Linked DNA regions of Coturnix japonica. The protein of the gene in region 1 purifies or fractionates together with the protein of each later gene. This does not show direct contact. Links are inferred from orthologs where the notes say so. Each region holds a gene or a part of one and is shown on either strand. Other genes may lie near its edges.

Region 1 (7,618 bases):
ATGTGGTCACAGAATAAGTTTTGGCTCACTTCTGGTCCTCAAGCTGTGCTGCTCCTTCTTCAGGGGAATTAGAGGATTGGGATATTTCCAAGGAGCAAGTCTAATAAACACATAATTTATGCATGGTAAAATGTAGTCTTCTGTGCCTTCAAGAGATGTCTAGGCACTCATTCATACCTTATCTACATAACTTTCACTGGAAAGACTTGTTACTGCAAGTCATATGCTGGTCATTGAGGATCCTAGAAAAGTGTGAAAACAAGGTCTTCAAGCAGATATAGTGTCAGTCAGGATACAACAAAGCAGTTGGAAAGTAAGCTAGTCTTATTCAGATCGGTTTCTTTATTTATATATATATATATAATATATAAAAAATATTTATATACCTAAGGTTTTTGTTTATTGGTAACAATCTCATTTAATCTCTTGAGAATTCTCATCCTGTCATGCTTACAGTATCCTGTATTTAGAATCCTAAATCATCACAGTAGCATTATTCCACTGCAAAAATTATCTCTAAATTAGAACTACAGTGACAATTATTCCGTTATTTTCCCTTTTCTCTATCTAAAGAATTGCATTTTCAAGCTATCAGTTCTACTTTTACCGCTGTCTCTTTTTTACTGTAATGTTTTCATATGATAATGCTCATAAGTACTATAGCCTATATGGAGCTACGGTGAAATAGATTCTATTTATGATCATATTTTCACCTGATAAAAAATTGAAAGAAAGGTTTTGCATTTACTCATAACATTGTGTGAAAGAAGTGGAATCAAGAATAAACTTCATACTGTTGACTTTCACAAAAATTGTTCATTTCGTAAGGGAAATGACTTTTGTATTTGATAATAGCACTTTGGAAATTTGACTTCACAAATTCAACTGCAAGTTATTGTGATTTTCTTTCTCTGAGTGCAATGAAAAGGAAAGCAATTTCAAGGGAAGCCGAGACTTGAACTGTAAATGAGGTTGAGAAATTCTGCTCTTGAGAATAACGGCTAATGGAAATTACAGTGACCTTATGTCCCATCAAAACATGTTTTCCATGTTAGTTATTAAAAAAAAAGGGGGGGGGGGGGGGGAGGGCTGGTGGGGAGAGGAATGGGGCAAAAGTGCTTTTCCTGTTAGTCTGCAAAGTGTCTGTATTCTCCTGTTGGGCCAGATTCTGAGCTTTTAAGAAATTCTCCTCCATATACATGGCTTCTTCTGATCCATTGGTCACACATAGGACCAATTTTCATCCGCATGTAAGATCCATTTGTTCTTGGAAACAGGAGGAAGGACTGTGTTCTCAGTTCCTTTTGAGCATCTGCTTGCCACAAGTCACCTGAGAGGAGCAAAGAGAATGTAGTGGTATAACTTGGAAGGTTTATTCCAGGGTACCTAGTAGAATCTGTCAGCACATCTCATTCAAGACTTGAGCCTGACATCTTTTTCTATAAGAAACCATATAGGTCTTATATGTCTTTTAAGAAATATATTTACCGTGTCTCTTGTTGTTTGTTATCATTATTGAAACTTGGCGTTCTGGAAGCAGTCATCTTTGCTGCTAATATTCTGTGAGAAAAATCCTGTGAAAATGGTATAGAGGATCATTTCAATGGACTTTGATGAATCTAAAAGAAAATCCCCACTTATTAATAATAAGCTGTATTTATTTTCTCTTGTTTGGTTTGTAGGTTTTTTTGGGTAGGTTTGTTGTTTTTTTTTTTTTACTTCTGAAAGGTTATCTCGTGTGTCTTCCAATACTGTCAGTTAAAGATTTACGTGATATTTTCAACAGTTTAAAAAGGGTAGTTCTTTGAATCATTCTAGGTGAAATAGCGTATCTGAGTAGTAACCGTTGGTCTTACCACAAAATAGTTTTGGTCTGTCTGTGCAGGAAAGAATTAAGATTGATCTTCAGCAAAACCACTGAGAAAAGGCATATCAAAGATTTCTGGACTTTTTGTTGTTCTTTAATCCAGCAGCAAGAGTGTGAATTTTAATTTGATACTTGAGGTTTAAAGGAGTGCAGTTTCTTTTTGTTTTTCAGGCATTACAAGAGGGAAATGGTTATTATGTACAGCAGTAATTCTTCAGCTTTGTTCTCCTTGTCTGAAACTCTAGAGTTCAGCTTTGGAGTATAACAGTTTCATAGCGCTTTATTTTCCAAAACTGTTAAGTTCTGTGGTTCTATTTTTCTCTAATTTATTTTCAATTCAAAATGCTTATTTTATCCTAAAAATCTGTAACATAGATGGAATTCAAATGATAGTATTTTAGTTTAATAATCTGAAAGTAAACTTAGTCTGAGAATAAACTATTGTCTTGTTATTGCACTCTTTGTCCAGTAGATGTTGCTGTACATACATAAAATAGGAGATTTTCTAAGTATAAAGCTGTATCTACACTTAACATGGTATTTTGAATGGCTTTTTCTCTATAATTTGCTTTGTTTCTCAGTAGACTCCACAGAAAGTTGTACTACAAACAGGAAGACTATTAGTCAAACCACGTTTTTCTTCAACTGTAACTGTCTCATGCAAAGTGTGCTGATGTTCCTCCATTTTCAGAAATGTGAACTGTCCATGAAGATGCTGATTATTTTGCAGTGTCTCTTTTTCAGTCAGTTGAATTGTCTCAAGAATATTTTCAGCACAATACTGTTTCTATAGGCACATGAGCAGAAAAAAAATTAAGTTTTAAAAAGCATACCATCTTCTACACACATTGCAATTCCAAATTGCTCACATTACATAAAGCATCTGTCACTTCATGTCAGTATTCTTATCTGGGTAGCTTCTATGCGGAGAATATAATTTCTTCATAGAAATCTGTTGCACAGTTAGGCTATGTATGTTGTAGTTCTCATTAACATTTCAATGAGAGTAGTTTAATTTTATGATGTTTGTCTTATATGAGCTGCTCTTGGACTTATCTCCAGCTTTGTTTCAAATAAACGTTGTTCCTCGGAACTAAACATTAGCACACTGACCAACTGGAAGTAAAGTTCATTGTCAGGTATAGTCTCTGCCTGTTCAGATAGCGTGAGTTAGTTTTTATAATTACATCACAAACTCAGTGATTGGTTTTCACTTCTTCACATTGAAACCCCCCTTTTTCAGAATTATTTTAAAAGTGGTTATGAGATACTTACACTTTTCAATTTTCTCATTTTCACCAGACTGCTGAAAAATCTGGCCAAATGGAAAAATCAAAGAAAAACGCTAGACAAAGACAAAATGATTTCAAGGTATGTTATGGCAAGGAAACATTGCTTTCTTTCACTTGCCCTTCCAAGCAGGATGCTTAAGCATCACCACCTTGAAAACCAGATTTCTTAAATCATGTGTGCCCTTATACCTCATCTTTCCAGACTCTCTAGCATGAGGAGCCTTATGTAAATCTAATGTTACAAGGTGCTATATATAGCAAGTACATGCATTCCTGCTTAAGCATACTGGTAGGTCTTTTGTTTGATTTTGCTTTCCCTTATTCTGATACAGAAAATGATTCAGGAAGTTATGCATTCCCTGGAGAAACTTATCCGTGGAGCTTTGCTTCCCTTCAGCCTCAAAGAAGGAGAATCAAGACAGTATGGTGGCTGGGAGATGAAATCTGAACTTTCTGGCCAGTGGCTAACACATGTTATCCAGACAGTAAGGTAAATGAAGCTGTTGACCTGCAATATGTTGTTACTGCTAGAATGTGTACTTTTTTTAGCACGTATTGTTTTGGGTTTGTGGGTTGCTTTTTTTTGTTAAATACTCTGAGTACTGAGAAAGTTAATTTTCTTTTCAAAAATATAATCACAAAAAAAATGCTTGTGGAAGATTTAGGATTCTGAGTCCAAGTTTAATTCATGGTGTCTCATAGTCTTACTATGTAATTATAATCTCTTTATTTTACCCAGAGAACCTAGGTAGAAGTTTGATTAAATAATTTACATGAGGTGGGATTTGATTCTTTAGAGTAGAATTATTAGGAAGCTTTGCAATTAGCATCTTCCCATCTTCACATTTCTGCCAAAATGGGTAAAAATGACATGCCTCTACTATAGTGTGATTCTTAAGATACTGTTTACTTTCTTAACTGTCTTATGAAAGGTGATGTCATGATGTCATTCTTTTTATAATTGTTTATTTATAAACTTATTAGTGTGCGTGTCATCAATTTCAAAATGTCTCAGTAAACGTACAGAATTTGCTTCCATTTCTCTATGGAGAATGTAAGCATCATCACTAGCTTTTGGAAACTCAAGTAATACCTAGATTTGACACTGTACTTTTTACCTGCAAGTTTCAAAGTCAATAACAAGAAAATTAGAGTTAAGCGTACCCTTCTTTATTATCTTACACATGTTAACTCATACATAGTTAATTCTTTCTAGAGATGAGTCGCAATGTTGCATACCTTTTGTTGAGTATTTTTAGCACTTCCCAGGTGCTCACACCAACAAAGCAGATAGACTCTTCTGAATAATCTGTGTATTGCAAATAAACCTTACTAGTTGCAAACTTATGTAGTATCTTAGGTCATATCTTTATAATTCCCAACGTATTTTCATCTTGAAGCGCCTGATAGGATCCTGCTCTTTTCAGTCATTTCACAAACAATTGTTTTTTGTTTGTATTTGGAAAATCATAAAGCACAGAGGGGGGTGGTTATGCAGCTTTGTTCTTTGTATCACACTCTGTCATTCCCTGGGTTGAGTAGGTTCCAGAGGACAAATTGGAGCTTAATATAAGGTGAAGCTATTGCCTGCAAGACTTCAGCCTCATTGTAGGTATAGAATGGTATTTGCATTGGGGTCAGTTATAGAAGGAAAAGTGAGGGTGTTGAAAGCTTTGTGCTTACTTGGGAATGGAATCAGCTCTACGTACTTTTATGCAGTGTAAAGTTGCTTAAACTTCTCACAGATGTCTGTTAAACCCTGTGTTTCATCGATGACTGAGATAATGCAGATTTATTAAATTTACAAATTCAGTAGTTGTGTTGAACTGATAGAAGTCAAAATCTGCTGTCTGAGCTTTGTTCAGTATTAACAGCAGGGGAAACAACAACTACATTTGAGTTGTCCTTGCTCAGACACCCAGGAGATAAATAAAAACAATAAACTTTACTTTGTGCCCATTACTACAGTCTGTAGCCTACAGTCATTTTTTAAAAAGCTAAAATGCTATTTCTTGTAAGGAGCTGTTGTATTGGTATTTCTAAAGGGAAAAATAGAAGTGAATCTTTCCATCTTCTGCTACTCTGTCTGGTGGTATAAGGCCAGTCACTGCTGGCAACAAAATAGTTAATGAATTCGCTCTTCACTTGGCAGTAGCTGTATTTTGTATTGTGTATACCGTCATGATCTGACACATGGCTACATCACCATTTATTGATGACTGTTATTGTTTAATACAGGTAGACTATAATTCAGTATCCTCATTGTAGACCTAAGATTTGCTGTATACATACATAGCAAAAGAAGGTACCTCTGCTGCAGAAGGAATCTTAGATTAAAGGACAAGATCATTGCAGGAAGGCAGGAGGAAAAGTGCAAGAATTGACATTAATGTTATAGGAAAAATAAATCTATATTTTCATGTTTATGAATTAAGCAAATAAGTAAACTTATGAATGGGGTAGCTAGTTTTCAGAGGCTTAATATGGGTGAAGCTACTGTATTGACAGCCAGTTTAAAAAGATTTGTGTAGTTTTATCAGCTTAAAAGACTTATAGGTTTACATGTTATTTTTTTTCTTTTCTTTTCTTTCCAGGCTTAGCTCTGAGTCTCTTACTGCACTTGAGATACCTAATGATATGCTTCAGATCATCCAGGATCTTATTTTAGACCTTCGAGTACGTTGCATTATAGTGACTTTGCAACACACAGCTGAAGGTAATAAAAGACTGCATCTCTCTCTGCTCACCAAACCAGATTCAAGACAATAATTGTGTTTGTTACAGTTGTTTAATTGACAGTGAATTCTGTAATATCTCACAAGAATTACTGAAATATTTTGCTACTCTGAGAAAATTCTGTATTCTGAATGTTTTCTTCCCTTAATTGGATGGATGCTGTAGTTGAAATCTGTCTTCTCTTAGCTGAGGCAGTTTTATAATGCAAGTGATTTATCTCATCATGCAACTTTTCTGTATTGGAAATACCACTTATTTTCTTTTTTGAGTTCTTCCACAGAGTGAATAATTAAATAGGCAGTGCCCTCTGCCCCAAAACCCCTGGTCCAGCTCTTACCCCCTATCTTCTGCCTGGTCTTCCTTATACCCCCCCGGCCCAATTTAAAACAAACAAACAAAAAAAAAAACCCTTTGTGGAATATTCTAGTTGTGGGTTTTTCCACAGTGTAATTCTCATATTTACAACATAAACAATATAATCCTTGTGCTTCCAACAGTGTACGTAGTTTTTGTCATAAATGTCAGAATCATAAAGGCCAATAATACATTCTGTAGTGTGATTCTGTGTGCATCAGAGGCAATTCATCTTATCAACTCGTAGTTAATTCTGAAACTTGAATTCAAGTGAAGTAAATCTTGCGGAAATAAATCTCCCTCTTAATAAAAGTTCAGACTAATAGTTCAACATTTTTTCCTAAGAGGGATTAATTACCCTCAATGCTAAAACAACAATTTTAATAACCTTCTCAAATTAAATTTACAGTTTAATCAATTTTTTCTCTATTATACATTTTGTCATTATTTAATTGACATGAATCTAAGCATCTTACTCAAGCCTTAAAAGTGCTAAGTGTGGGTGACTACATTCATTAAACAAATTTTTAAAGTTTCAGTGACAAGTGTGAAAGTCTGTATTATTTATTCTATACAACATTAATATTAATTGTATTTTTGTCTCTTATTTGACTAAATCCCACTTCAGCATTAATATTATTTTGCCTACATTAATACCAAGCATATTAGCCATACTGGTGTACTGATTGTCTTTCTTACACTCTGTGGGGCAAGTATTATCACTGTTTAAGATTTTACTTGAAATATGAAGATATTGATCTCTGTGAGTTACTTACTCATAGATTATTTTTTTAGACAAGACTGGATTAGTTGGACCCTTGGAGAAACTGTTGTTTTTAGAGAATCGATGAAAGAACAACTAATGGGTATTCTCATTGGGCTATGTAAACTGGTCTCAGACCTACCCATGTTGTATTAGTTGAAGGGCTCTTCTCGAGCTTGAATCTCTATAAGCTATCTGAATTATGAGCTGCAGAGACTATTAATGTAAGGCTCAATCTCATACTCCATGTCATAAGTTGATAGGGTCATTCAGATCAATTGATAGATCATTCTACCATTAGCTATTTAAGTGGGATGAATCTGCCCACACAGAGGGTTTTCTTGTTATTTTATATACAGCACTCAAGAGCAATCTCTGTTCTTTCTCTGTCGTGTGCGTTCACTGGTCATAAAGGTCATGAAACCCAGACTGATGAATGCCAAATCAGACAGGGAGTTTACATGAGTGTATTTGACTGGAATATGGTGAATTATTTCACTGAAATTAATTGTTGTTGTTGTTGAGGGGTGGGGGGTTGTGTTGTTTTTTTTTAGATTGATTGTTTTTTTAGTATATATTTTTGCTAGCTCAGATCTGAATTTAAAA
Region 2 (7,618 bases), on another chromosome or scaffold:
CAGATTGAATGGTTCAGCACTGAAAGCACCACCAGGAAATAGTTCCTAATTATCATTCCAAATGCTGTGTTTCCAAAATAAACTACACCAGTAAAACCCTCCAAGCTATCTCTTCAGTGCTATAGTAGTAGTATGTTTATGTTGTAGTCACAGTATTATAAAAAAATTCATAGTGTTAGAATGTAATTCTCTATCAGCTGAGTATTTCAGTTTATTCAAAATGTATCTTCTAAAGTTACATTTCAACTCTAGCTCAAATGGTGCTGCCTGATATGTCTTATTCCTCTGTGGAATCCAGTGAAATATCTCTGTTCGCTGAGAATGCCTGCTAGCAAGTTGCTTCAGAGTTTACCAGGCTGGCTGGGCATAATTTTTGTTATCAGATAATGTTGAAGAATTTTACCTTTCTCTTTCTGATGTTTGCCAGCAGCAGTTTCTTTATATGATATCATTTTTACTATAATTGGTCTGTAGTCTAAGGAGTATTTTACAACAGTAACATTTATTGTATTTCATATTTTAGTTTATTTTTTTTCTGAGCTTTTATGTTAGTTTGTATAAGAAATTGAGAAAATGCTTTTATGTAACTACACTGCATGAAGGTAGTGAGTCTAAGTTGTTTTAATCAAGGCAGCCAGTCAGGGATACAGGTAAGGCTGGAGAGTTCAACCTTTCTTTTGTACTGATGTTCTTTGAAAACATATGTCCAGTGTTCTGAATCATTTTAACAAAACCAGAATTTCTCACTTTCAGTCATATTGCAATGATCCTGACCTTGTTCTGGAACTGAAGAATCTCATTGTGGTATTTGCTGATACTTTACAGGTGGGTATTATATTAGCAATTTAACTGAAATTCATAGGGCCAAATTTGAACTTCAGGTGAGTGAGTACAATATTTTGGATCCTCTGATGTCGCATTTATATAAGTCAAGAGCAAAATTACAGAATAATGTTTTAAATAATAAAAATGTCTGTATTTTATGCCCTGGATCCTCCTTTTCACTGTTACCAACTGAATGTGTGTATTCTGGTTGATCCAGTTAGCATCGGCATATTCATAACTATGTTTCTGTTATCGTTGTATCTTGTGAACATTTTTGTCCTTTGTAAATGCTTTACTTCTGAACTTAAACATGAATGAACAGTCCTGCTATCATTAACTGTCTAGGGGGATGACCAAATGAATATCATTGGCAAATATTATCAGCCTGATAAAAAAAAGATTAGCTGTTTGCATAAATATCAAGTTAAAATGTTACAGAAAAATGGGACAGATTTTTGCTTGACAGCTGAAAGCATGGTAAAAAATATTTTGTAAGAATGTAACGATCTTTAAGTTGTGTATTTGAAGTAGTACCTTCTGATTTGTAGAAATGATAAGATTGATCAGTCTTGTTGTAGAGGCTTGAAGGTATAATAAGAATGAGCAAGTTAGTACTGGAATTATCCATCCTTTTCATTTTTATACTTTAGGGTTATGGTTTCCCTGTGAATCGACTCTTTGATCTTTTATTTGAGATAAGAGACCAGTACAATGAAACACTTCTTAAAAAGTGGTCTGGATTGTTCAGGTTAGTATTAGTATATAAAAATAATTGTGCCTTCCATATTGCATTTATTGCTTGTTGTCTTTAAATTTTGTTGCAGTTGTAATTCTGGAAGAATTGACTGAGTCAGTGCTGCACATGAAGTTCGGATTAGGTAGAACTAATGTATTCGTTGCGTGTAACTAATATTTTAGAGAAGAACTATCAAGGACTGCATCTGTAATTAATGGAGAGAAGAAACATTCCCTCTTAGGGACTTCTCTGGAGAAATACCAAGAGAAGGACACCTGTTTTTCTTAATTAGTAACCTAATCAGCCTAGACAACTGCAATAGTCTGTTGCCAATATGTTCTTAATTTAGGTTGTCATAATGTTTAATGTTGGACATTATGTGTATATTACTGACACACTTCTGATGTTGCCAATGTCTTCATGTTCTTTCAGTGCAAGAGGGTTTCCATGTGTTCTTTGGAATCATTTTTTGAATAGTTAACCCAGGAGTAGAGCAGTGTGGAACTGTACTCCAAAGTCTGTTTGCAGATATAGAGTATGATGTCTAAATTTTCAGATTTTGTTTACCATAAAAGGTGTTGAATCATATTACAGAAAATCTTAAAATTAAATCGACCACTTAAGATTCTCCTTACAGTTTTTCCTGGAATAGACTTGTTGTTCTGAAGTTCCTTTACTGTGTTCTGCTTTTGGACATGCATGATAAATGTTTTTAGCTTTTTTTTTAACTCTGTGATTGGACATAGCTTAAAGAGCAGTCATATAATAATTACTTTTGAATTCATCTAAACATATTTCAGACTTTTGAAACTAGAATGATTCCAGTTCATAATATTTTAACATTGCACACGTAAATGTAGTAGTAATTTGTATATTCATTAGTATGCTTTATTATTGTAAAATACTATTAATAAATTAAATATTCTTGTTTTTTCGCTTTATTAACTAATTTGCCAGGGATATTTTTGAAGCAGATAACTACAGCCCTATTCCTGTAGCAAATGAAGAAGAATACAAAATAGTTATAAGCAAATTTCCTTTTCAAGATTCAGAACTTGATAAGGTAAGGAAAAGTTTTGTTATTAAGATTTGCCAAAATCCAATTCGGAATGGTTAGAACAGAAATTATATTTCTAATTAGAAAGTAATTAAAAATAGAAAAGCTTGGTAGATTAAGAGTGTAATTATGTATTCATAAATAAATAGGAAAATTAAAGCTCTAATCACTTGCTCTGATGTTTGAGTGAATAATGAGACCTACTGTTTTGTAAACTAATAATTCATTTTAATCAATCCAGTCTTTATTTAATGAGTTAACTTAGATTTTGTTGCAAAACATTGGGTTTTGTAACCCATGGTATGTTGTATGCTGTGGTTTTGCAGCAATGCAGGTAATGATCATCAGGAATGTATTAGAGATAGCAACTTCATTATTTCACTTTGTAAATTAGTTATTTATTATCTGAATATGTGGGACAAAGTAGATATGAAGAGGCTGTAAAGAATTCTGCTGTACTGACATCCCAGTGGGATATTCTTTCTTAGCGTCAGCCATTCTCTCTAAAATTTTCTTTCATGGAAGGGTGATTAGTATGTTCTGCCTTCTGAAAGTGGTTTTGATGGAACTGATCAAGTAATAACAAACCCATGGTAGAATTTACATAAGGAAATTAAAGCACAGTGAGAGTAGTTGGTGTAGAGGGAAGCTGGTTTAATCAAGATGCACTGCTGCAGATACCTACCTGAAAATGGAATCTAATTTTATGATTCAGCAGGAAGATAGCTGATAGAGAACAATCAACACTCCAAACTTTAATGTATTTAAACGGATACAGAAATCAGTTCAATACACACCACAGAATATATTTGGTTTAAAATGGAAAAACTTATGATAGGTGAAATATTGGTAAGTGATTTTCCAGTATTTAATACCAATCTCTCCTTAGAATCAGAGGATTATCTTTATTTTTACAGCAGTCCTTTCCAAAGAAGCTCCCGATGTCTCAGTCAGTGCCTCAGATATATATCCAGGTTAAGGAATTCATTTATGCAAGCCTTAAGTTTTCAGAATCACTTCACCGCAGGTAATCTATAAGTACTGTGAATGCAAATGAGTATAAACTATCCCATAACTTCCAGGTAAACTAATAATTTGTATTAAATTGAAAATAGGTTTTCCTGGGTGCTTACTTGCTTTGTTTGTTTCTTAAATTACATGTGTAATTTGTTATATTTTATCTGTGATTCCCAGTGCTATGATATATATTTCATGTATGTATATACATGTAGGTATGGAATGCATGTATGTGTAAATGAATTTTGCTTAGTGTAGTGAACACACCAAAGCAGCATTAGGGCTTTTTTAACAGTATTGACTGATTTGGATAATCTGGAGATTTTTTTGTTGTTGTTTAACAAAGCCTGTATACTTTAATAATTATCATTTCAGAAATAATTGTGTAGCATCCCTGATTACTTTAAACACCTTACAATTTTCACTGCTTTGAGTTTCCCTAGTAATTATTTTTCCTGTAACACAACATGCTGTCTGCATGCTAATTCCCTCTTCTTTCCCACCTTTTCCCAAAGGAAAATATAACATTTCTGACATCTCCTGTTTTCTTGTGAAGCTTTAAAGCTCAGTTATAATTATGTAAAATAACGTGGCAGGTCTGAAATCTGGGAGTTATTTGTGACTGCTCACCCACTTCTGCTCCGTTAAAGATGTAAATGAATTGCTTTCACACGTTCTTAATTGTTACTGTTTATAATTTACACGTACTAATTGGTGCATGTTGACCTCCATGGTAACTCATTACAAAACACAAATTACTCCTTCCTAACTGCTGTGTCAATAAACACGTCCAAAATCTAAAAATAACAGGTTTTCTGCAACGTTGAAATGTAGTTAATGGATAATTTGGTAAATGAAAGAGGTGTTTTGTGTTAGATCACAGATGGCTTGAAGCAACCAGAAATTCAAGCACATGGATAATTCTGAATACTAAAAGTTCTCTTTGTAAGGAAGAAATAGAGTTTTACTGTCAAAGTATTGTCATGTTTTAAAAATGTACTTTTATTTCAGCTCAACGGAAATAGATGACATGCTTAGAAAATCAACGAATCTGCTGCTAACAAGAACTCTCAGTAGTTGTTTACAGAACCTAATTAAGAAACCTCACATAGGTTTAACAGAGGTAAGTTTTAAAATACTCACCCAGAACTGCATTCTTGTAAGGAAATTGGTGCTAAAACTATTCTTGTAAATGTGGATATTATATAGTATTGAGATTATGTAACGAAAATAAGTAGTGCTTACTTTAAAATTGAAATTTTAAAGAGATGAGGAATGTATTAACAAAAAAAAGGGTCAATGGCTGTGACATAAACAAAAACAACCAAACAATCAAAACCAATGTGGATCTAGTTGGAACTGAAGGATGATGCTTGTGCTACTGGAAGGAGTTAGACTGCTGCCATGAGTGCAGTGCAATTTTCATGTTTAGTTTTGCTTTAAAAATGGCAAGGATCTCTTGTGTAAATGAAATAAAAAGAAGATCATGAGGAGGGAAAGGTTCTAATTTGTATATTGACACACTTGTATGCCAAGCTATAAAATTATTCTGAGAAAGTTTTCTACATTCTTGAAATTGGTACAGAATATGAAAAAATCACTAATATTTTTTAGGTATTTAAATATCAGGATGGTATGTTATAATAAAAAAGTTTAAAATACAAAGCTGTTACTTTTCCTAACATTAGATTAGTGTTCACTAAAAGGTACTGGAGCCAGACTGCAAGTAGTGAAGATATTAGAAATCATACACCACTGTTTCAGTTATTATGCAGCATCTGTGTTGTGTAATTTATGAACTGAACATGAATGAAAGTCCTGCCTATAAAAAGATGTAAATAATATCAGTATCGTGCATATTTATTTCTAGAGCAGTATTATTACCATTTAGGGGGGGATGCAGTCATATATTTGAAATTTCCGAACTTCTTACTACATTGCTTTTATGTATTGATGTATTTATTTATTTTAATTGCAGCAATGATGTTTGCTTTCTTGTTTCCTTGCTTTTGTAGTATGAATTAGTGATTTAATTTTGGCAATATGTTATCCTTTATTTTCCCCTTTTTTAAATTCTGAAATAACAGTTGAATTAATTTCACTGGGTAGATATCTACAATCTTCATTTTTTTTAAAATGGCATTTGTATGTAAACTGTGGCATTACTCCTTACCGGTATTTGAAAGCTAACTTGAATGTTGTCAGTTGATAGCTGATAGCCTGAAATACTGCAGTAAACTTCTGGCAACACTGTTTCTGAAAGAAGCCCCCATTTACAAAAATCAAATGTCAATGAATAATAGAAAAAGGCATTTTATTATAATTATTTGTTTCTTGTAGCTTGTTCAAATCATCATAAACACAACGCACCTGGAACTAGCCTGTAAATACCTTGAGGATTTTATCTCTAACATCACAAATATTTCACAAGTGACTGTTCACACTGCCAGACTGTATGGACTTTCTACATTTAAGGTATGGTATATATTACCCGTTATGCAACCAGATATGAAAAGTTAATTCATTTGCAATGATTTTAATGTATTTAAAAACAAAAGGGGAGTGAGGGGAGAGCTGCATATTTTCTCATTTTGATTCTAAAAAAATCTGTTAGGAATTCAGTTTTAACCTTGAGCAGATAAACATTGTTTTTTATGTTATTGGTATGGGAATTTAATATACGAGAAACATCTACATTCCTGCAGATGCCTTTTTTATTAAGTTACAGAATGACAAACAAAGTTTGACTGCACCAGAAGCTTTCAATGGATTAAGCTCCAAGCAATGTGATATTTCACATTTCTGAATGGAATCGAGCAAAACAGCTACTGTAATTTGACATGTCTTATGTTTGCGGTATACTCTCAGACTGTGTAATGATAATATGAAAGCAGTATTTAGTATGTGTTACAAAGCATAGATTATCCAATTGTTTGTAGAATTCATGTTTTTATTTAGTATCCTTTACATTTATTTGCGCAGTAATGCTTGTTAAAATGGAAATAGAGCTAGATATGAACAATTATATTTGTGTATAATTACCTACAAAAAAAGCATTATTATTTACCTTTAAATAATAAGTATCCTCAGAGAAGGATTTTTCCAAAATTTTTTTTTTTGTCACTTATGTCTCCATGAATTAATGGTTGAGATTATAATCTTCAACCTTGTTCATTCAGAAAGCAAACCTGTATACTGTATGGAATCACATGAAAGGTTTCAAAGCATTCTCATGAGCAATAAGGTATCCTGTGGGAGGGCATTGGGATGGCACTGAAAGGAGCAGTGTTCTCTGTCAAGGTTTGCTGCTAGCTAACTCGAGATCAGAAATCAGTCATTTAACCTCTGCGTTTCTCAGTTTCTCTCTGTAGGCAAGAACTTAAATGATGAGTTGTAAAATAATTTTAAAAGTGCTGTAAGTTACTAATAATTGAAAATCTCCATACACAATGAATGCATCCAGGTTGTTGCTATATATTGCGAAACCAAGTTTTTGAATTTGTATATGTAAAATAAGACAGGAAATTACTTCATCAACCAACTTATTCTCATCAGTCCTTTTTTAAAAATTTATATTAAATGAAAAACTGCATGTAGTTCCCCAGCTGGGCCCCCATAGGGTTTGGCATGTTATTAAATTCGTCTCCTGGTGACAAATCGTGTCACTCCCATTCTTTCTGAGTGATCAAAAATCTCCTTTATTAGCATTGTTTGCAATCCTTGAGATGATCTCAAAAATGCAACCATACTGTAGTTTTTCTTGGGTCTCTTAATTTCTTTTGTTTTTTATTTCCTTTTTTTTAAAAAAAAAAAAAAGAAGTCCTCAAACATGTTTCATTGCTGCTATTTCTGAGGGCTGTTTTCCCCCTGTTATTATTGGATATAAGATGCCATTTTAAAATACCATTCAAACTCTCCTAGTATTCTTTTGTAACAGTGTAAAAGTAAATACAAGTACAAAAGAAAAACAAATAAACAGCCTC

The links. The genes of interacting proteins can lie anywhere in the genome.
Region 2: the proteins of EXOC2 (region 1) and EXOC6 purify together in Homo sapiens (affinity purification with mass spectrometry; 5 studies listed by BioGRID and IntAct, counting the BioPlex papers as one, with this or other methods). This does not show direct contact. The link is inferred for Coturnix japonica from reciprocal best matches to the Homo sapiens genes EXOC2 and EXOC6.

What each region holds. Positions count from the first base shown.
Region 1 is NC_029517.1:62,019,986-62,027,603, forward strand, and holds part of EXOC2 (exocyst complex component 2), read left to right. Parts: intron 1-3,169; coding exon 3,170-3,238; intron 3,239-3,491; coding exon 3,492-3,649; intron 3,650-5,753; coding exon 5,754-5,875; intron 5,876-7,618. UniProt on the Homo sapiens protein: Component of the exocyst complex involved in the docking of exocytic vesicles with fusion sites on the plasma membrane.
Region 2 is NC_029521.1:17,888,815-17,896,432, reverse strand, and holds part of EXOC6 (exocyst complex component 6), read left to right. Parts: intron 1-753; coding exon 754-825; intron 826-1,475; coding exon 1,476-1,573; intron 1,574-2,518; coding exon 2,519-2,624; intron 2,625-3,535; coding exon 3,536-3,645; intron 3,646-4,646; coding exon 4,647-4,758; intron 4,759-5,975; coding exon 5,976-6,110; intron 6,111-7,618. UniProt on the Homo sapiens protein: Component of the exocyst complex involved in the docking of exocytic vesicles with fusion sites on the plasma membrane.